Cricetulus griseus: one gene and its partner. The protein of the gene in region 1 purifies or fractionates together with the protein of each later gene. This does not show direct contact. Links are inferred from orthologs where the notes say so. Each region holds a gene or a part of one and is shown in the gene's direction. Other genes may lie near its edges.

Region 1 (10,089 bases):
GATTGACCCAACTGTGATTGCCATTTGCGCGCGCAACCGGTTCGGCCCCGCCCCCCCTCCTGCGGGCCCCGCCCACAGGGAAAGAACGCCTGCGTAAAGCGTAAGGGGAAAAGACTAGGACGGCGGTGGGCGGTACAAATACTAGCAATCTACGCTGTCGCGCAGCAGTGACGTGACACGCGGCATGCGGTGAGGACGTGCGCGCCCTCGCTTCTTCCTCTTTCTTGACTCCATCTTCGCGGTAGCAGCTTCGGCGTCCGCGGTTTAGGTGAGACTGGGGGACGGCTAAACTTGTAGCGCTCGGTAGCAGGCCGACTGCGGGCTGAGAGGGTGCGGGAAGTCAAGGGACAGGGCTGTTGTGCGGCCTGGTCTCCCAGCCTCATCCAGGTCCCTGGCGAGCTCGGCCTTCCGCATGTGAGGAGCGCAATCTCCCGTCCCCTACCCATCCCCTGATCTCCTTTCTTCTGGGACGCTTCTTCCTTCTCTCAAAGGCCTGTCTTTTTTTCAGTCGCCAACATGCAGCTCTTTGTGCGCGCCCAGGGACTACACACACTCGAGGTGACCGGCCAAGAGACGGTCGCTCAGATCAAAGTAAGTGTATAATGTTCTTTTATCCCCAGACCCGCAGGTAAAACTCCTTTCTCCCCAGTGTGTGCTCCTTTATCCCCAGACCCGCAGGTAAAATTTTCCTTACAAATTATTGGGCTTTTAATTTTTTGTCTGTAGGCTCATGTGGCCTCACTGGAAGGCATTTCCCCGGAAGATCAAGTCGTGCTTTTGGCTGGCTCGCCGCTGGAGGATGAGGCCACCCTAGGCCAGTGTGGCGTAGAGGCCCTGACTACTCTGGAAGTAGCTGGTCGCATGTTGGGAGGTGACTGCTTTTTTACTGTGAACTAATGGAATGTGTGTAGTTATAGAATGTGTCAGCTCATTTCTGTGGCAATACACCTGTGCCTTCTAGAGTGGTACTGAGTTTAACCAGACTGCTTCTCGGGGTCCCCACTAAAATCAAGATCCAAAGTCGTGTAATGGCAGTGTATACCTTTAATCCTAGCAACATGGAAGACAGGCAGGCAGGTCTCTTTAAGGCTAGCCTGGTGTACAAAGCAACTTCCAGGACAGCCAGGGCTACACAGAGAAACGCTGTCAGGAGACAAAAGAGCAATAACAATCAAAATCTGGCTTCCTGTCTTTGTTTTGTATGTAAAATGTTAGCTAAGGATAGTTCTTGCCTTAGTAGTATATACATCAACCCTCAGCACTGAACAGACTGGCCACAGTGACATTGTGGTGGAAACCAACCTGGGATAGCTATTCTGTGGCCTCCATCTCTAATCTGTGCAACTTGGTTTCATTCCTTGTTGGACCCAAACTTGTCTTTGTCCCGTCCCCCCCCCCCCCCCCCCCGTCCCCCCGTTCCCCCGTCCCCCAGGGTTTCCTCTAGCTTTTGGAGGCTGTCCTGGAACTAGCTCTTGTAGATCAGCCTGGTCTCGAACTCACAGATCCACCTGCTTCTGTCTCCCTAGTGCTGGGATTAAAGGTGTGTGCCACCAACGCCCAACTAGGGCGTTGCTTCTGATCTGCCTTTCTTCCTTCCCCACACAGGTAAAGTTCATGGTTCCCTAGCTCGTGCTGGAAAAGTGAGAGGTCAAACTCCCAAGGTGAGTGAGTGCCAGAATTGTTATTTGCACTATTGCAGCAAAATCAAAGACCTTTGGTTTTCCTGTTTGTATTCTCTTTCCTGGAGAGGAATTGGTGGGAAGGATGCCAGGCATGGGAGAGGTGAACCAGGGTCTTACCAGTCAGTCCTTCCCTTTCCCAGGTGGCCAAACAAGAGAAAAAAAAGAAGAAGACAGGTCGGGCCAAGCGGCGGATGCAGTATAACCGTCGCTTTGTTAACGTGGTGCCAACCTTTGGCAAGAAGAAGGGCCCTAATGCTAATTCCTAAGTCCTTCTGTGATTCTTGCACTCTAATAAAGCCACTTTGCCCAGATGTGTTACTGCTTTCATCATTTGTGAGGCCTTAAGAAGAAATAGAACTTTTAGGCTAGTAAAGTGTCTCTTGGCCATTGGGAGTGATAAATGAGAATCTCACCACAGCGGGCAGAAGTGGTGCACACCTTTTAGGCCTAGCACTTGGGAGGCCTGAGTAGATGTAGCAGGTGATCTGAGTTCAAGGCCACCCTGGTCTACATAGAGACCCTATTTCAACCAACCAAACAGGTTCAGTGTTAGGCTGTTTTGGAGAGGCAATGATTAAAGGGAGGGGAGGCCTTGGTTAGAAGGTGAATCGGTTTTTACTGAATTTGGGACCAGCTGTACTATCAATAAAAGTTCAAAACACGGGCTGGAGAGATGGCTCAGAGGTTAAGAGCACTGACTGCTCTTCCAGAGGTCATGAGTTCAATTCCCAGCAACCACATGGTGGCTCACAACCAAACCTTATGAGATTTGGTGCCCTCTTTTGGTGTGCAGATATACATGGAAGCAGAATGTTTTATACATAATAAATAAAATCTTAAAAAAAAAAAGTTCAAAACACAAGGAGCATCGGGTCCCTCGGCATTGGAATTGTCTGATTGCACTGGCATCCTGATCTTGTCTGGCTGAACTTGATCACAACTGTGACTGAGAAGCTGATTAAATGGTTCCACCCTTAGCACCAGGCTTCCACTACACCCAGATCCCATTGCATCTTGGAATGCACCAAGGAGTAAGGCCAAAGAATAGTTGGACACTCCATTCCATTTAAGCTTTGTGAGAGATACTGGTCAAACTGTAAAATGCGCTGCAACCAGTGTCTAACCCATTGTAGACTCTGAATAGTGACTGTCTCAGACTCATTGTTTAGCCATTAGCTTTTTACTATAGTGGGTGTGGGTATTCCCACATTCTTGTTAGGACAGCATTCAGGAGTGTACCAGGGATTTGGAGGCAAATGGTTTTTATTAAGCCCAGGCTAGTTTTGGACTCTTAATATTCCTTTCCCAGCCTCCCAAATGTTACTAGACTACCACATGCTGTGTAGACTACCACACTTGGCCTGAGCAGTGCTTAAGGGTCAAATTCCCAACTCAGGTTCTTTGTAGAGGAAAAGTATGAAACTATGTAGTTTGCGATCCATGCATAGTGGCACATACCATTAATCCCAGTTCTGAGAGGAAGAGGCTAGCCTAGCCTGGTTTACAGCGCTAGTTCTAGGAAAGCCAAGGCTACACAAACCTCTGGTGGCAGTCAGGGGTTGGGTGGGGATGGGTGGCACAAAACAAATACTAGGAATTGAATTTCAATCCAACTTGGAGGTTGGGCTGCCCCAGTTTGTTATATTGATATGTTAAGTATCTTCGGGGCTTCTCTGTGGCTTCGGAGGCTGTCCTGGAACCTGCTCTTCAGATTCTTTGTCATGCCTGGTTTATGATTTGGTTCTTGTAGGGTTTTTATTATTTTGGGGGTATTTTCAAGACAGGGTCTTACTGTAGCTCTGACTATTCTGGAACTCACTGGGTAGACCTGAAACTCAGAAATCGCCCTGCCTCTGGGGACCTGGTGCGGGGATTAAATTAAAGGCGTGTGTCGCTACACCCCTAAGATTCTGGATTTTTTTTGTTGGTTGGTTTTGCTTAAAAGGTAGTTTATTTTTGCACAATTTGGTAAAACCACAGGGAACAAGCTGGGATCAGCGACATTAATCTTCTAACTCTCGAGAGCCACCGTGTTGGTTAGACCTTGGGCGTGTTCTGCGCATGCTCAAAAGGCTACTCTAGAGACGGAAGTTACCGAGAAGGTACGTCGCCCCACGCACAAAGGCGGAAATAACCGAAGAAGCACCGGAAGTGGCGGAGCTACGTCTGCTGTGTGGTGCCCGACACGCGGCGCCAGTTGCCATGGAGCCCGTAGGGCTCTGCGGCTTCTGCCCAGGCGGGGAAGCTTTGCCGGCGCGCTACACCTGCCCGCGCTGCAACGCGCCCTACTGCTCGCTGCGCTGCTACCGGGCGCATGGCTCCTGCGCCGAAGACTTCTACCGCGACCAGGTGCTGCGAGAGCTCCGCGGCCGGAGTGCCTCTCCCAGCCGTCTGGCGGGAGCACTACGCCGGCTACGCGAACAACGGGAGACCGAGGATGAGCCCGAGGAAATAGGCCTCAGGCCCGGCCCGCGGCCGAACGGCCTTTCTGGACTCTGGGAAAGCTTGTCACCGGCTGAGAAGGCGGCGTTCGAGCGGCTGCTGAGCCGTGGCGATGCTGGACGCCTTCTGCCCCCGTGGAGACCCTGGTGGTGGGGCCGCGGGGGTGGCCCGCGATTTATGGAGGAGTTGGATCGTGCCCCGGGCAGGGATCTTTCGGAGCCGGAGACCGCCCCAGAGAGCACCGCGCCCGAATCTGTGGATGATGCCGCCGCGGTGCCTCTTGCTGAAGACTCAAATGCCGCCGTGCCGCCCGCAGTGCCCTCCCGTATCCCAGCGCTGGCCAGCCTGAGCCGCTGCCCGCCCTCGCCACTCGTGCGATTCCAGCTGCCCAATGTGCTGTTCGCCTACGCTCACACTCTCGCCCTGTATCATGGAGGGGACGACGACGCTCTACTCTCTGATTTCTGTGCCACACTGCTCGATGTTTCTGGAGCCCTGGGCGCCCAGCAAGTCTTTGACTCTACGGAGGAAGCCCTGCAGGCCGCAGCCCACGTGCTGGAAGCGGGTGAACACCCACCTGGGCCCTTGGGTACGCGGGGTGCTATGCAAGAGGTTGCTCGTATTCTGCTGGGCGAGGGTCCTATCAACCAGAAAGGCTACACGCTGACAGCACTGGGGCACCTGGCCCAAACCCTGGGCCGAGCCCGGAAACAGGCTGTGGTTAGCGAAGAACGAAATCGCCTTTACCGGGCTCGGAAGAAGTGCCAGTTCCTCCTAGCCTGGACCAACGAAAATGAGGTTGCTCTCACACCACTGGCTCTAGACTGTGCCAGGGTCCACCGAGCCCATGCTGTCACAGCCGAGGAGATGGCAACCCTTACTGGGGAGCTGGAGCGGCTTTGGGGAGGCCCGGTACCACCTGCTCCAAGGACTCTCATTGAGGAGCTCCCTGGCTGAGCTGGGTGTGTGGTATTAATAAAGCTGTCACTGGTCTGTCCAAATGTTGGCAGTACCTTTATTTTCTTCAAAGACAGTACCCTATCCTAGACTTTCCTTGAAGTCACTGTGTAGCTGATGACCTTGAACTTCTGAGCCGAGCCTGCCTCTACCTTGACAGTGCTGGGATTACAAGTGTTAAGTCACCTTGCTAATTTATGCAGTGCTGAAGGTCAAAGGCTTCTTGAATGCTAAGCAAGCATTCTATATAACAACTACATCCCCCAGGCCTGAAGTGCCCATTTCTGAGAGAAACCAGTTGTTCCACGAAGCTACCCTGGACACACAAACCACTTCCCTAGTACAGCTTCCCTAGTCAGCTAGTTCTCTACCTCTCTCCCCCAAATCACTGACCCCAGAATAGAAGAAAAACAAGATTGAAAACATTTATCCAGCAGGGAAAAGTATTTTCATATGGGAGCAGTGGTTCCCTCTTCTTGCGTCAGACTCTGAGGCTGGTCATCCCTGCCAAGTAGAATGGGGTGCAGGCCCTTCACCCCACATGTGTTCAGGCCTGAGCTTGTTAGATGGCTCTGCCTCAGTAGACATAGGGTATGATTCGATAAGGCACACGTTTGCAGTATTCCTGCCAGGCACGGCCATACTTGCGAAGGCACTGCTGCTCATCTCGGGCCTCCCGGTGTACCAGCAATGCAGTGAAGTAAAGGAGGTAGAAGTAGGGCAGCAGGTGAGACACCCCTGTAGGGAAGGGGTTGCATGATGAGACACCAGCACCCGGTGTATAATGGCTTTCTCAGCTAATGACACACAGGGTGACAGGGTTCATCAGTGATACACGGGGTCCATCTCCAGTCACACCAGACTGAGCCTCCCTTCCCAGACCTACTCACCACAGGGCAAGGACCAGGCCAGAGCCATGATGAGGTCTCCCAAGTAGTTGGGGTGACGAACCATACCCCACCACCCAGATACCAGCAGCTGCCGTCCTGTGGCAGTAGGGATGGTTTCAAGACCTGGAGAAAGGTAGCTAATGAACCAGGGAGCCTCAAAGCCTGACCCTTCATCTCACCCATAGTCTCCAGGAGACCCAGCTCACCAGCCACACTGGGGTCAGAAGGATTCTTCCGGAATGTGTTTTTCTGGGAGTTAGCACCACGGAAGATGTAGTAACCAATAACTGAGAGAAAGTATGATCAGGTAGTGAGATGAAGTCCAAGCCTTCTTCCTCGCCCTGACAACAAGCCTGTCCAAATCCCAGGCTCTGTTATGACACCCAGGGGGCCAGCTCCCAGCTTTAGAGGAGCATCAGAGCCTGGGATCTACCTAATGGGCAGTGAATGAAGTATGAAAGAGGGAGGGGAAATGAAGGCCCTCCTACTGACCCTTAATAAGGCAGATGAGCAAGGCCATGGGCAACCCCAGAGGCTGTGGATGGTATAGCAGGAACTGGGCCTGCAAGCTGTAGGTGAAGGGTACCCAGGCTAGGTCTCCAAAGGCCAGCATGAAACCAAATCCATCATGTATTATGTCCATGGTGGTGAGGACAGACTCCTGCAGGGACAGGACCCAGACACACTGGCTTAGTCCAGATGACATCTTCAGGATCCCTTTCTCACCTCCCCTTCCAATCCAGCCTCACCTCATACCAGAGGGCATCACCCACATACAGCAACTGGAAGGCATTGACCAGCCACATGGCCAGTGAAGGACTCCCCCGTAGCTCTGCCTCCTGTATCAGCAGGGCCAGGTTAATAAAAACCTGAGGGAAGTGGGGACAGGGCCATTGTCTCTGAGTGGGAGCATCAGAGTGGAAAAGTGTCAACCTCTCCCCTCCCTCAACTGTCAGTTCACATGTTGAATGAATCTAGGTCGAAGCTGCCTATACTTAAAACTCCTGCTTTTGAATCTGAGCTTTGCCACTTGGGCAGAGTATATATCCTTGCTGAAGCTCACTTTCCCACTGCCATGTGGAAAATGGGGATAAGAGCCCTGTCTTGCTGTTTAAAGAAAAATATAATGCTTGCAGAGCTGAGGATTAGCTTGTCGTGAACCTGTACTTTGTACCCTTGTTTTAGTAGTTCCAGTGGACTAGGTAGCTTCTTCAGTAATACTGACATAGTACTTTCATTAAGGGTACCTCTAATTAAAAAAAAAAAAAAGTCTCACTAAGTAGCCTTGATTGGACTGAAAATGTGTACAACCAGGCTAACCTAAAGTCATAAAAATCTACCTGCCTCTGCCTCCTAAGTGCTGGAATTGAAGGAGTGTGCCACCACACCCAGCCCTCACAGTAATTGTAGAAGAAAACTTCATCCCATCCTGTTTCTTCAGTGAGAAAATAACCTTAGAGTCTGGTATGTGTGTAGGCAGGCCAATCTCCAGATCCTTGGAGGGACCAGGCCAGGTGGGGTTACAATAACTAATCCTAGTTACTTAAGTAGGTGAAGAAAGTGGAGGAGACATTGATAGCCAGGGCTATCCTAGTGAGACCTGTTTCAAATCCAAACCAAACCCAAACTCAGATTCATAGAGGTTACTTGGCACTCCTGCCTCTGGGTAAGATCTCCAAGATGAAAGCAGGGCCTTGCCTGAATCTCTTTGGAACTCTTCACCACCGTCCATGTCTGTGTGATCTTAGCCCAAGAACAGCTGCTGTGTTGTTAGGGCCACCAATGACAAACAATCCACTGGAGGCACAGAGCTGCCTTGCCCTTCAAGCAGCTTGGTCATTGTCTTTGAAGTCAGTTTTGTACTTGAGCACTGCATCCAAATCTTCACTTTATTGCTATGTATGCCATATATATTTAGTTTTGTGGTGCTAGGGTTGGAATTGAGGGTGTGTGTGTGTGTGTGTGTGTGTGTGTGTGTGTGTGTGTGTGTGTGAGCCAAATGCTCTCTACCTTTTTTTTTTTTTTTAAAGATTTGTTATTAAGACCCCTCTTGATCTTAATACTAAAGCAAAACCATGACTTCATGCCAAAACAACATATTGGCAAATGAATGATGATTGCTGTCCACCCAGCCATGCTAGCCCACCCTGTCCTTCTCCTGGCCCAAGACCAACATAGTTAAACCCAGCATGCCCAGCATACCCAGCCGATGAGGCCAGGCCTCAGCTCACAGAAATATTTGAAGTCAAAGGAACCAAGGCGAGGGTTTAGCTCCCGTCCCAGAAAGAAATCATAAATGCAATTTCCTGGGGGAATAACAGAGAGTGAAGGCACAGTTAGGCATCCCATATGCCTCACCCCTACCTCATTGGGACCCTTCTCACCTGAGTTTCCTCCAGGTGCCAGGGCTGAGACAGGAGCTGCCAAAGCCTTCATATAGAGAAGGAGGCTGAAGATGAAGCTGGTGAGAGTGGTCGCAAAGGCCAAGGGCAGGAGCATTTCAGGGAGTGCCCCCAGGGGCAGCCCAGCTGACACCCCTAGCCCCACCAACAGGGCTGTTAGGACCAGAGCCTGGAAGCCTGAACCACAGCAGAGTGAGTTTTAGAATTGAATACATCCACAACTAACACACACACACACACACACACACACACACACACACACACACAACTAACACACACACATCCACACACACAAACACACACACACACACACACAACACACACACAACACACACACACACACACACACACACACCCCCTAGAACAGAGTAGCAGCACAGAGAGATTCCCATAGGGAAACGTGTCGTGTCAACAGAGCTAGTCCCGAGATCCCACCCCAACCCGTGTAACCAGGAGGGAGGACCCAGGCACCATTAATAGGGTAGCGCAGGCGACTCTTGTCCTTTAGTTCCAGCCCTTCGGCCACCTACGGATATAGGAAACGTCTTATAAGAGTTGGGGAGGCCTTCTGCCTTCCCTGTCCGCTCCACCCGGTGTTAGAACGGAGCTCACACCTTGCGCGCAGGCAGCAGATAGAGCGCCACCTGCAGGGCGAGCCAGATGAACAATAGCAGCAGAGCCTGTGGACTCCACAGCTCCTCCAGCCCCGGCAGGTAAGTGGGTGGGCCCAGGAGCCGCGCTGGGCCCGATCGGGCCACCAGGAGCAGATGGAACATGGTGGCAGGCAGCAGGACCAGCATCGCCGTGACGCCTGGAGAGAGGGCCACTGTGTCTCGTGACCGCTCCCCAGAGCTCTCCCAAGTCCACAGGCACCTTAGGTCACCTGCCTGCTTAGCAGGTTCCCTGCGCCATACTCCTACCTTGATTTCCATCTTAGTCCTCCCCAAGACTATCCTCCTGCTCTTCCAACTGTCTCCCACTCCACAGACTCCTTGCTGTACAGCTGCCAGCACCGGTCCATCCTTTCCTGCAGACATTCTGCCACCTGCGCACCCTCCATCTTTCTGCCTCCAAATTCCCAAAAGCCTTCTAGCTCGTACCATACCCTGTTGCCGTTAAGTAGCATCAGTTCAGCCTCCACTCCACCCCCAACCTTCCCATTTACCCAGTGGCCCCCCGAATTCCAATGAGGCCTGGGAGACCTCACGAGGAGTCATGATCTCTGCTTTGCCGGGGAGCGATGGTTCACAAAAGATCAAGGGAACACATCCTGCCCTATCCTGGTGGTCTGGCTAAGCTTCTGTCTGAACACTGAAGTGAGACAGCTGCTGCCCTTGTCTAGCAATCTTTAGAAGGACGCGCCCCCCTGCCCATCCTGGGCCCAGCACAGCAGCCAATCAGCGCTAGGAGGTGGGACCGTGCTATCGTCTCAGAAGCTTCGGTATTAAACTCCACCCCTGCCAGGTCCCGCCCCTTCAGGCAAGAGGGAGGAGGAGGCTACACAAGTTTATTAGACCGGTCCAGACTCCCGCCAGCGGGGTGAAGACAGCGCACTGGGAGGACAGGATAGGACAATAGGGCTGCCCCGTGACGGCGTTGGTAGAGCCTAGCCGCGCTCACAGATGACCTCGACAACACTGGGTTCCATGGGTACCGGGTCCGGACAGCGAAGGGCAGCTGAGGCTACCACTTCGTCTAGCAGCAGATGCACTAGCT
Region 2 (10,449 bases), about 5.0 Mb from region 1:
AAGCCAATAGCCGATACCCAGGCTGCTTCCCCATTTCATGCACTGAGATGGGTAGTCCATCTTAGCCCTCTACAGTGAGTGCTGAGGGTTCCTATTCTCAGGTGCAGGTAGTGGGGGACTGGCTATAGGGCAGAGCATATCTGTGAAGTGCAGATCACCTGTGTTCTCTGGGCATGGAATTGCTGTTTTTGTCCTCTGGTTGCAGTGGCAGCTCCTCCAACAGGACACTGAGGCACAAAGAGTTCACGCTGCCAAACTCTGCCTGTTGTGGGTGTGAGTGCTCCAGACACTCCTGTCTGGGGCAGTGAGGCATGCAGCTTGCTCACTGAATTCTTCCTCTCCCCAGGCATCTACATTCTCATTGCTGTGGGAGCTGTGATGATGTTTGTGGGCTTCCTGGGGTGCTATGGGGCCATCCAAGAGTCCCAGTGCCTGCTGGGGACGGTAAGTAGGAAGGGTTTCAGGGCAGGGGAGTAGTCTTCCCCAAGGTTTTGCTTTTTCTGTTTGCTTGATTTCCATTAAGTCTGACTCTGAAGACTCATGTTGACAGAGGGAGTTTCTCTTTAGAAATGCATAAACCAGTGGGGTGCCTCACCCCTAAAGCCAGCCTTAGTGTTCCTGGCCACAGTGGCTACTGATGGAGCAGAGTCTCAGATATGTCTTCTAGAGCCTGGCCAACCAGTGTGGAAAACTGAAGCACACTTCATATTTTAAACTTCCCATGGATGGAGGATAAAGGGGGTGAGGAAACTAAGGTCAGGGTTGGGGGCATATTGCTGCATGTGCCTCCCTGGAGACTGTGATCACTTGGATTTGTCTACTGCATCTCCTGTGCAAGCAGCATCCTGCAAAGCAGGGAGCAGGGTAGGGCCCTGAGAACAATAGATTATTGCATGCTGCATGCGCTCAAGGATGATCTGTAGTCCGTAAGGCTAAGATTTCTTTATTCAGATAAACACCAGCCCCCACACAAGCCAGAGCATGCCAGGGGCAGCAAGGCAGCCTGGCCAGAGAGCAGGGGCTATCCACGTGTGCGCAGTCCCTTAAGAATTCTTCCCACATCACCTTAGACCTCCCCTGACCACGCCCTCACGGGCGTGTCCCGGCACACCTGTCGGGGCTGGGGGGGGGGGGGGCGCGCTACAGTGTCTCCCTACAAAGAACTTGAACATCTCGGTGCCAAGCTGCATCAGACCCCATCTTTCATGGTTCTGTGTGGCTCATTCTTAATCAGGACATGGTTGATGGATGTGGTCAACTCCCTTGGCACATAGTTGTTGGTCATGTGGGCACCTATAGAGGGCTGGGCTTGGGCTTGCTGGTCAAGGCTCTGTTCTCGTCTTTCTTCTAGTTCTTCACCTGCCTTGTGATCCTGTTTGCCTGTGAGGTGGCTGCTGGCATCTGGGGCTTCGTAAACAAAGACCAGGTGAGCCTAGGTTCACTGGGGAGGGAGATAGGCCCCTTGCCTGGGCAACAGGAGTGAACCGCTCTGAGCCCATGGGTTACAGGGTGCCTTTTGGGTTTCTGGTGCCTGCTGGTAGAAGGGTCTTGGGAGCTGAACAGAAGAGATGGTGTCAGGTTGAGCACAGCAGGGGAAGCTGAGTGCTCTTGATGGTAGTCCCTATGCTGCAAGTGACTATGATTCTCCCCCAGATCGCCAAGGATGTGAAGCAGTTCTATGATCAAGCCCTTCAACAGGCTGTGGTGGATGACGATGCCAATAATGCCAAGGCTGTGGTGAAGACCTTCCATGAGACGGTACAGCTAGGCTGGAGCAGGGAGGGCAGGTTGTGGGAGTCCTAGTGTGTGTGATCTTTGGGGGATGAGTCCTGCCTATTTCCAGACATCAGCAACATGACAGGTCCTGGCTAAAGGTCTGTGTGATTTGTAGATCCCCAGGCAGGAACCTAATGGGCCTCATTTGCCCAGGGGTTTGGAGGAACAGGGCTCTTGAGCAGTGTGACAAACAGGGTAGAAGGCCAGCTCCCAGGTATATGGGGGTGATGGTGTGCTGACCTTGCCCTTGTCTCCTGAGGCTCCTAAGGTGACAGTGATGCTTTTGGTCTCTGCAGCTCAACTGCTGTGGCTCCAACGCACTGACCGCACTGACCACCTCTGTGCTGAAGAACAGCCTGTGTCCCTCAGGCACCAACATATTCAACTCCTTGATGAAGGTGACATGGAGTGGGGGTGGACATCATATCCTGGGTGGTAGGTAGAGTAAACATGGCCCACCAGGAAGATCAGCAGGACCTCAGAAAGGCTCACAGAACATCTCAGGTAGTGGGGTGCTGGGTCCTGACAGCCTGCGTTAGCCTCTGCAATATCCTGGGAAACTGCTGTCCAGTGGTCCCTTACACATACTGGAAGCCCTAGGGTACTAGTGAGGTCAGAAACACTATCCTGTGATAAAGAAAGAGAGCAGGTCCATGTGTTTTAAGTTTATTTTTTGGATGGAAGATAAACTGCAGGACAAGCCCCACCACTGAGTAGGGTAGTGGCTGTGACTTAGCCACTGACTGTTACCACCCTCTGGCCATCCCTGCAGGAGGATTGCCATCAGAAAATCGATGAGCTCTTTTCTGGGAAGCTGTACCTCATTGGTATTGCGGCCATCGTGGTAGCTGTCATCATGGTAAGCACAGGGCCTCTTTGGTGGGTGGGTACCACCCCTCCCAAGGTCCTAGGTGCTGACAATGCCCCTCCCTCCCGCAGATCTTCGAGATGATTCTGAGCATGGTGCTGTGCTGTGGCATCCGGAACAGCTCCGTGTACTGAGGTCCTGCACTTTGTACTACAGGGACCCTGCAGTGCCATGCCCCTGAGTGACCAGAGGCCACCTCGGGGGCCATGGCCTGTGTATATATTTCTGTATTACTCTGCTACACTTAGCCTTTTTACTTTGAGGGTTTTTTTGTTGTTGTTGTTTTGAACTTGCCCGGTATCTTTTGGGGGCTGACATCACACATAGGTGGCAGTGGTGAGTGTGGGGATATAGGGGTGGAGCTGGCCCTGGCTTGCAGGGCCCTGTACTTCTGGAACCCCTGCCTGCTGAGCCAAACCTCCTCCACAGCTGCTTGCCCAGAGGCTATGTAGCTGAGCTAGAGAGCCATGGTCACTCACCCTGCCCACTGTGGGTCACATCGATCACATCTTTTTAATCCTTGTCCCTTTCCTGTCCCCATTTCAAGAGCTGGGTTTGTAAGCACTCTTATGCCTTCAATGCACCTGTTCTTTCTAACGTGTCACCTTCAACTGTAATTACATCTGAAACAGTCATTTAATAAAGGAGGAGAAAATCAGGCATGCTAACCGGACTGTCAGACCTCTTCCTGTTCCAGTGGTGTCAGAGACGGGTACCGCTCTGGACTTTGCCAGGCACAGGGTGAGCAGGTCCAAGAGAGGCTGTGGAATAAAATGGGTGGGAAGGATAGGGACCCTGGGAGCACTCCATCTGAGTACTCCCTCGTTTCTACCTCCCTGTACTGGGAGTTCAGGCTGACCTTATTCCAGCCTTGACCTCATTTCCACTCATCTGTTGGACATGCCAAGTCACACTGAGACGGGTAGGAGAGGTCACGCAGCAGGAAAATTCGACACAGAATGCTGGGGATAAGCTACAAAAAACTCCCACTTCATCCCACTTTTGAAAGACAATACAGTAAAAGTTAGACTACTGCCCCATCCCAAGTATCTAGGTGCTTAGAAATGTTCTAAAGAGCTGGGTGGCTCTGGCCTGTCTCAAGGGATAATAGTCAAGATGGCAGCCCACTCAGCTCAGCCCTATGAACTGAGGATTAGGCTAAGCAACCTCTTGGGACACCAGCAACTATCACCACTACTGCCTTTCCCTTTGACTCCTGTCTGCACCCCTCCCCCAGGCTACTGGCATATTTAATTGGCCTCTAGAGGAGAGAAAGCGTGGCTAAGATTTAGGTCTCAGCTCCTAGCAACCTCCCTGTAAGCTGATTTGTCAGTGAACCCCAAGTTTGTCCTAGGGCGTCCTAATCTCTACTATCGTCCGTCCGCCGCCCCCCTCCCGCCCCTTGCAACCTGTTCCCTGCTTGGGTTGGCTGCTGGTCTGAAGGACTTTATACTCTTATGTTGTGGGCCCCTGGCCAAGGCTGTTGAGAAAACTGCAGCATGGCTATCAGGGCTTCAAGAACATAGGGAAGGAAGTGAGCGTGCAGCAGCCCAGTGGATTCTCAGACTCTGGTTCCCAGAGATGAAAGAGGACAGCCCCGGGCCTAGAGGGGAGTTGTGTGTGGCCTTAAATAGTGGGGTCGGTGTCCAAGCACGGCTAGGCAGAGCCTAGAGGAGAGGCCTCGAATCTCTGCAGCCCCAAACAACTTATCCAACATCCAGAGCCCACCACGTCTCTAGATGCCAAGAGCCAACTAGGACTTAAGTCCCCGCCCCCTTTAGGAAGCCAACCGAGTACAAGATCAGATCAGCACCACTTCTGACCAGGAAACTTGTTGACGCCCGCACTGCGTGGTGACGCACTTCCTTCCAGTGACGAACCCTGCTCAGACGGCTTCCGACAGGCGGCGCTGGAGGCCTCAACCCTTTGCGATTAGCAGTTGGCCCTATGTACAATGGGAATCGAGGCTCTTGGCTCCGCCTCTTCCTCTTTCGTCATTTCCGGGTAGATTTCCGTGTCCGCTCCAGTCTTACGGGATGACGTATACGTAAAGGTTACACCTCCCGGCAGGCATTACGCATTGGCCCATTGCCTTCTGGGAGTTGTAGTTCCTTGGCCGCTAAAGTTGCAGCATTCAGACAGCCGGAGACTCGGTTTCCCAGAAAGCCGAGCGAGAGTAGGCGGGGGCCACGGCCCGTACCTCGAGAAACCGGCGGGACGCTACGGTAAAGGCAGCTGGCTGTTGTAGCGTGAAGGGACGGTGGAGCGGTGAGCGCTGGCCTCCTTAGGACCGTGCGACCAGGCCAGTCCCCTGCCAGCTCTCCCTCCGGAGCCGGGTGGTGCCTCCGGTGGCGGTGTGTACCCGGAGAGGCTGCGCTCTGTGAGAGCCGGTGATGAGACGAGCTGATGGTCGAGAGCCTCTGTCTCCAGCGTCTCCTAGCGCGCACCCTTTATATGTCCGCACTGTTCTGATCTCATGGTTTGACTCTCTGCTTAACCCTATCTAGACTGCAGCTCCACATCAGTGCGTGCGAGGACACACTATTCGCCACCCAGCTTCGCGAGGCCTCCGCCCGCCTGCGTGACCAGCCAGCGCCCGATTGCGAGCAGAGGCGCCTGGCACATAGTGGAGGTGAAAGTGGGGGAGCCTGGGAGAACGGGGGTGGGGGGGAGCTGCCCAAGTACACCCCTCACAGCAGAACCTGGGCTGCTTCGCTACAGGTCGGGTTCCATGGCGGAGGCGGAGACTGGCTTGGAGGCCGAGGAACCCACCGAAGATGACACCCTGCCTTCTGACACCGTCTCCCTCAGCGACTCGGACTCGGACCTCAGCTTACCTAGTGGTGCTGAGGTGCAAGTGTTGTCCCCGGAGAGGATTTCTGGGGAAGCCCAAGAAGACTCCGGCCCTGATGAGCCTCCCTCGCCCCCCACGGGCGTCCCCACCACCGCAGTTCAGCCGTTCCACCTCCGCGGCATGAGCTCCACCTTCTCCCAGCGCAGTCACAGCATCTTTGATTGTCTGGAGAGTGCAGTCCGGCAGGCACCGCCCTCTGCGCCCCAAACCAGTGTGACTGAAAATGGCAACTTCAAGCGACCTGTGGCTCCCCCAAGTCAGACTCCAGCAGGGAACCTGAGCAGGGTGCATGGGAGTACGGGCCCAACCAGGGTACCTCCTGTGCCCGATTATGTGTCACATCCTGAGCGTTGGACCAAGTACAGCCTGGAAGATGCGACTGAAGTCAGTGAGCAGAGCAATCGTGCTGCTGCCCTGGCCTTTCTGGGTTCTCGCAGCCTGGCATCCCCCACAGACTATGTACCTTCCTTCAACCAGGACCCCTCTAGCTGTGGGGAGGGGAGAGTGGTCTTTACCAAACCAATTCGAGGCAGTGAGACTAGGGCTGAAAGGAAGAGGGTCCTAAAGAAGGGGGATGTGTCAAATGCTGTGAGTGAGGCATCTGTGGAGCTGGCCCATCTGGCAGGGCCTGAGCTTGAGGAGTGGAGTGGCCACCAGGGACTGCAAGAGGCAGTGATACCTTCAGGAGCTGACCATCCTGGGTCCTCATCAGATCCCACAGGGATGGAGGCTGTTGGTTTCCATGGCAGCAAGAAGCGGAGCAGAGAACACTTCCGGAACAGGGACAGTAACCCGGAGGGGCCAGGGTCTGAGAGGGGACCCTCAGTTTGACTGCAGTGCTATCTCTCCACCTCCTCACCTGCCCAGTCCAGGTGGGAAGCTGTGGGCTATTTGTAGAAGGGGTGTCTGGGAAGCAACTCTGACTAGGACTGTGGGAATTGTGGGACCTTATGCCCCCGTTTCTTGGGGTGAAAAATAAAGGTTTGGGATATTTCTTAAATTTTGTGGATTTTTCTGCTCCCTATTCAAGATGTGTCCAAACAGTCCTTGGCAACTAACTTCAGGACTCCATCCTACACCTGGCTTATCTTGCTCTCCCCACTCCAGTGGGGACTGCTGTAAAGATTTGCCATGATCCCTTGCATTTGCTACCAGTGAACCTACCCAGAGGGACTGGGTTCATAACCATGTCCAGCCTTGTACCCCTGATGGTAATGGACGAACATAATCTGTCCCCCAGAAACCAGCACAGCCTCCACACTAGGCCTGTGCAGACCAGTTTTAGGAAGAGGGTAGTTTGAGCCAGCGAAGGAGTTTGGGCAGGTGTCCACCCAAACTAAAGATAGAGCTGGTGTCCTGGGTGTATGTCTCCAGGATTTGTGACCTCTGTGTAGGACACTGCTGATGCTAATAGGCTGATGCTAGGTCATTTAGCTGAAGCTTAGCCCAGGAGGAAGAGAAGGATGCAGGGAAGACACATGAGTGAGTACTTCATGCCGTGGCCAGGGTCCTGAACCAAGTTAGCTAGCCTGGTACACTAAGTACTAGGTCTGCCCTAGTCTCTGTAGTCCCTATTCCAGGGCTTGAGTATCCTCGAAAAAGGAAGGATCAGCCTGAATGGTCATATGATTTGAGGATCAGTGGAAGCAACAGAGATGCCATTCAATAGGTCAGGTAACTCCATGTTCCCTGGGTGTTTGAAAAGCATGTTGAGCCATCCCTGTGGTCCAGTGTAGCTGAGTTGAGGTGGTCTACAGGCTTTGTAGCAACCTGCTACAAAGGGTACCCTTGAACAGTATCTGGCGTTAATGCCACAGTGGTTACACAGATAAGCTGTGGGGGCAGAGCGGTGGGAGGCGATGATTACCAGTCCTCTAGAAGCTGGTCAGATAATGAAGAGTTTGTCTTGAGGGCAGAAAGAAATCACTAGTGTTTAAGAGGTCAGTTTCTTAGGAACTAACAGTAAGACAGGGTCTAGACCCGAGTAGCTCTGCCTCGGCAGATTTGTCCTTCACTAGTTCCTGGTGTCCAGTCCAAGCCGATGAAAGCACTAAGGACTGAAAGAACTTCCCCTACTGGAAAAGACACCGCTGGAGCTCCCAGATAGGTGCCAAGAAACAGTTTCATTTTCACAGGAAGGGATGTTCAAGAAGGGGTCTGTGGCAACGCCCTAGAAGACCATTTCTGGAGGTCGCTGGGAGTAGGGGAAGGTTGATGTGTCGCAAAAGCCCAAGATGGCAAGGCCTGGGGCTCTAGGACAGGTGGCCCCTCCATGTCAGGTGTCTGAGGGTGGCAAGCCAGCCTCTGGGTATTCCCTGTCTCTAGTAGATGTTGGCTGACTCCTGCGACCACAGTTCTGAGAGCCTGGGAGCAAGGAAGGGAGAAAGGACCCTCAGCTGTGGAGCCCCAGCTGGGACAGGACAGGACATGGAAAGTGATAAGGCTTCTGTCCAGCAGGACCAGTGGTAGGCAGAGCCTTGGGACATTACGGCTCTGATCCTAGGCACCTGTATGCCTCAGGCACGGTGGCCTGCCAAGGACAGCAAGGACTTCCAGCACAGGTGGGGAAGGCAGGAACTGATGCACAGCCTACAGCTTTGCTCTTGTCTAATCCAGTGGCCTAAGGAAGGAGCCCATGCCCACCTCATTCCCATGGCCTGAACAGTACTTACTTGAGTAGTTGCCACCTGGAGCCACTGTGTCAGCCATGGAGGAGAGGAGGAGCATACAATAGTTGGCCTGGAAGGAGACAAGGGAGATGCTGGACTTTGGCACAGAGTCCCTCCCATGTGACTCCCCTCCTGCCAGGTCTAATGCTGCCCCAGGACTCCTCACTGTGGACCAGGCTCCCCCATGGTGCATGATAAGGAATGGTGACAGGATGTGCTAGTAAATCTAGGTTTTGTTGGACCAGTTCTAGAAGAAAAATGTGTCTCTAGTGACAGGCATCCCCTGCCCACACCCATCAGGAATCTAGTACAGGGCTGTGGTAGTTCCCATAGAAGCAGAAGGATGGCCCCACCTCAAGAAGAATAGACAGTGAGTGGGTTGTTGGCTTGCCTGTGATTCCAGACACTTGATCCTCTTTTCTTGCTCTCTCAGCCCCATGATGTATTTGGCAATCAAATCCACTCTGTGGAAAGTAGGGCCAGCCATAGATGTGATTCCTCCATGGCATTCCACAAGGGGGAGCCTGTCTGCCCTAAATGCTTTCTCAGGGTCTCAGAATTCTGTTGCCTCTTCTTGTCCTACTCTCCTCCCAGTCTTGATCTGGGGCCTGTCTACAGATACAGAACACTTCTGTACCACCCCCACTCCCAGAGACTGAGGTCCTGTCCCTGCTTGGAATAGACCACTAGCAAGAGAAGAAACAGCAGGTCATCCCCACAAGTGTTCAGGAACAGCCCCTCCACCTCCCGGCATCAACTGGGGGTGGATCTTCAGACTTGAGAGAGGATGAAGGGAGAGTCCCATTGCAGAAAGATGCCTAATGCTTATGCTCCCAAAGATGGCTTATGCTCCCAATGCCCCCCCCCAGTCCTCCCCCTAGAGCAAGAGTCTGGAGTGCTGGATCTTGTGACCCAGCCTTGTTTCCTAGCTTAGAGGTCCTATTACTGGCACTGAAGAGTCTCACCCAGCCTTAAGGCAGTTCAGAAAACCCCACCCATTACTGAAAAGGCTAGATGTTTCCCCACCTCCACATGCTTGCACTTGGGAGCCCCTCCCAGACTTATTGCCCCTCATAACACCCAGCTGACTAAGGTCAACTCAGTCCCACTGCATCTGAGTCCACCTGCCTCTAGACAGGGCCCTTTCTACATCTCTGAGCAGCCCATGGATAGAAATGATGGCACCTGCTAGCCTGAGACTCATATTCATATGCCCCGCCATCTGGGGTCCCATGGGCTTCCCCACCTCTGTGCTGTTTTCCTCAGCACCTCCCCCTCGCTGTCCCTCCTCCGTTTCTCCATGGCACTCAGGAAGTTCTCCTTCTGAACTGCTTCCCAGGTAATGATCTTCTGGTCCAAGGGGTCAGGCAAGTCTCTCTCTAGCAAGGTAGGAGACAGCAGCAAACCTTGGAGAGTTATGTGGGCCCCTAGGGAAGAGCCCAGGCCCAGGCTGTGGCAAGGGACTAGGGAAGATGCCACCATGCAGAGCACAAGGCAGATGGCAAAAATAAACCCCATGGAGGGATTTGGGGCTGCAAGGAGACAGGATGGTCCTGTGGCTGTCTAGTATGGGTCTGGGGTTTTGGTTAGCCTTGACAGGGCCTAGATGAGAAACCCAGTCCCTTCTGTGAGTCTTCTCTGGAAGCAGGACCCCGAGGAACAGTGGCATCCAGCCTGTGGCCTCACCCAGGTGTTGACGCTTGTGCTGGACTTCCTTCCTGAAGACCCTCTTGAGCACCAGACTCAGGTGGCTGAGCAGGATGAAGGGTGGGGCCAGGGCTGGTCGCCCATGGTATTCAACAATGAGGTGGTAGCGCTGAAACTTCCAGAACACGTCAGCATTGCCCTGGACCACTTGGAATGTGTAACTGCAGGACACATGGCCAAGCCCTTGCCTTATAAGCTGCTTTCCCTGCACATAGAAGCACCCTACCTCAACCTGGCACCACCTCCCACCCCATATGCCACCCCATCCTGTATCCCCCTTCCTACCCTTCATCTCAACCCTTCACCTCCCACTCCATATATGCCATCCTCCATTGCATCCAGAGGGCAGCTGGCCTGTCCTGGGAGCCCAATTCAGAGATGGAGGCTAACATAGTTAGCTTTAACTATTAACTTGACAGTCTAAGAGTCAACTGAGAAGAGAACCACAATTGAGGGACTGTCAAGATCATATTGTCCCATGGGCATGTCTATGGGGGAATATATTGACCATTAATTGATGTAGGAGGGCCCAACCCATTGTGGGTTCTCTGTGCACGAGGGCTTGGGCTGTACAA

Evidence for each region. Proteins that work in one complex are often made in the same cells at the same time.
Region 2: the proteins of Znhit2 (region 1) and Tssc4 purify together in Homo sapiens (affinity purification with mass spectrometry; 3 studies listed by BioGRID and IntAct, counting the BioPlex papers as one, with this or other methods). This does not show direct contact. The link is inferred for Cricetulus griseus from reciprocal best matches to the Homo sapiens genes ZNHIT2 and TSSC4.

The regions. Positions count from the first base shown.
Region 1 is NC_048596.1:53,285,161-53,295,249, reverse strand, and holds Znhit2 (zinc finger HIT domain-containing protein 2), read left to right. Parts: upstream 1-3,648; 5' UTR 3,649-3,884; coding exon 3,885-5,081; 3' UTR 5,082-5,125; downstream 5,126-10,089. Other genes in the region: Fau (40S ribosomal protein S30), read left to right, coding at 517-591, 727-871, 1,606-1,661, 1,823-1,948; delta(14)-sterol reductase TM7SF2, read right to left, coding at 5,659-5,819, 5,972-6,094, 6,178-6,258, 6,464-6,632, 6,721-6,840, 8,174-8,550, 8,845-8,899, 8,988-9,476; Vps51 (vacuolar protein sorting-associated protein 51 homolog), read right to left, coding at 9,980-10,089. UniProt on the Homo sapiens protein: May act as a bridging factor mediating the interaction between the R2TP/Prefoldin-like (R2TP/PFDL) complex and U5 small nuclear ribonucleoprotein (U5 snRNP).
Region 2 is NC_048596.1:58,312,935-58,323,383, reverse strand, and holds Tssc4 (protein TSSC4), read left to right. Parts: upstream 1-4,724; 5' UTR 4,725-4,869; exon of another isoform or gene 4,870-4,998; intron 4,999-5,151; 5' UTR 5,152-5,276; intron 5,277-5,365; 5' UTR 5,366-5,375; coding exon 5,376-6,329; 3' UTR 6,330-6,498; downstream 6,499-10,449. Other genes in the region: CD81 antigen, read left to right, coding at 347-444, 1,352-1,426, 1,654-1,758, 2,073-2,174, 2,549-2,635, 2,716-2,778; Trpm5 (transient receptor potential cation channel subfamily M member 5), read right to left, coding at 7,774-7,862, 8,171-8,237, 8,559-8,631, 9,414-9,546, 9,854-10,035. UniProt on the Homo sapiens protein: Protein associated with the U5 snRNP, during its maturation and its post-splicing recycling and which is required for spliceosomal tri-snRNP complex assembly in the nucleus.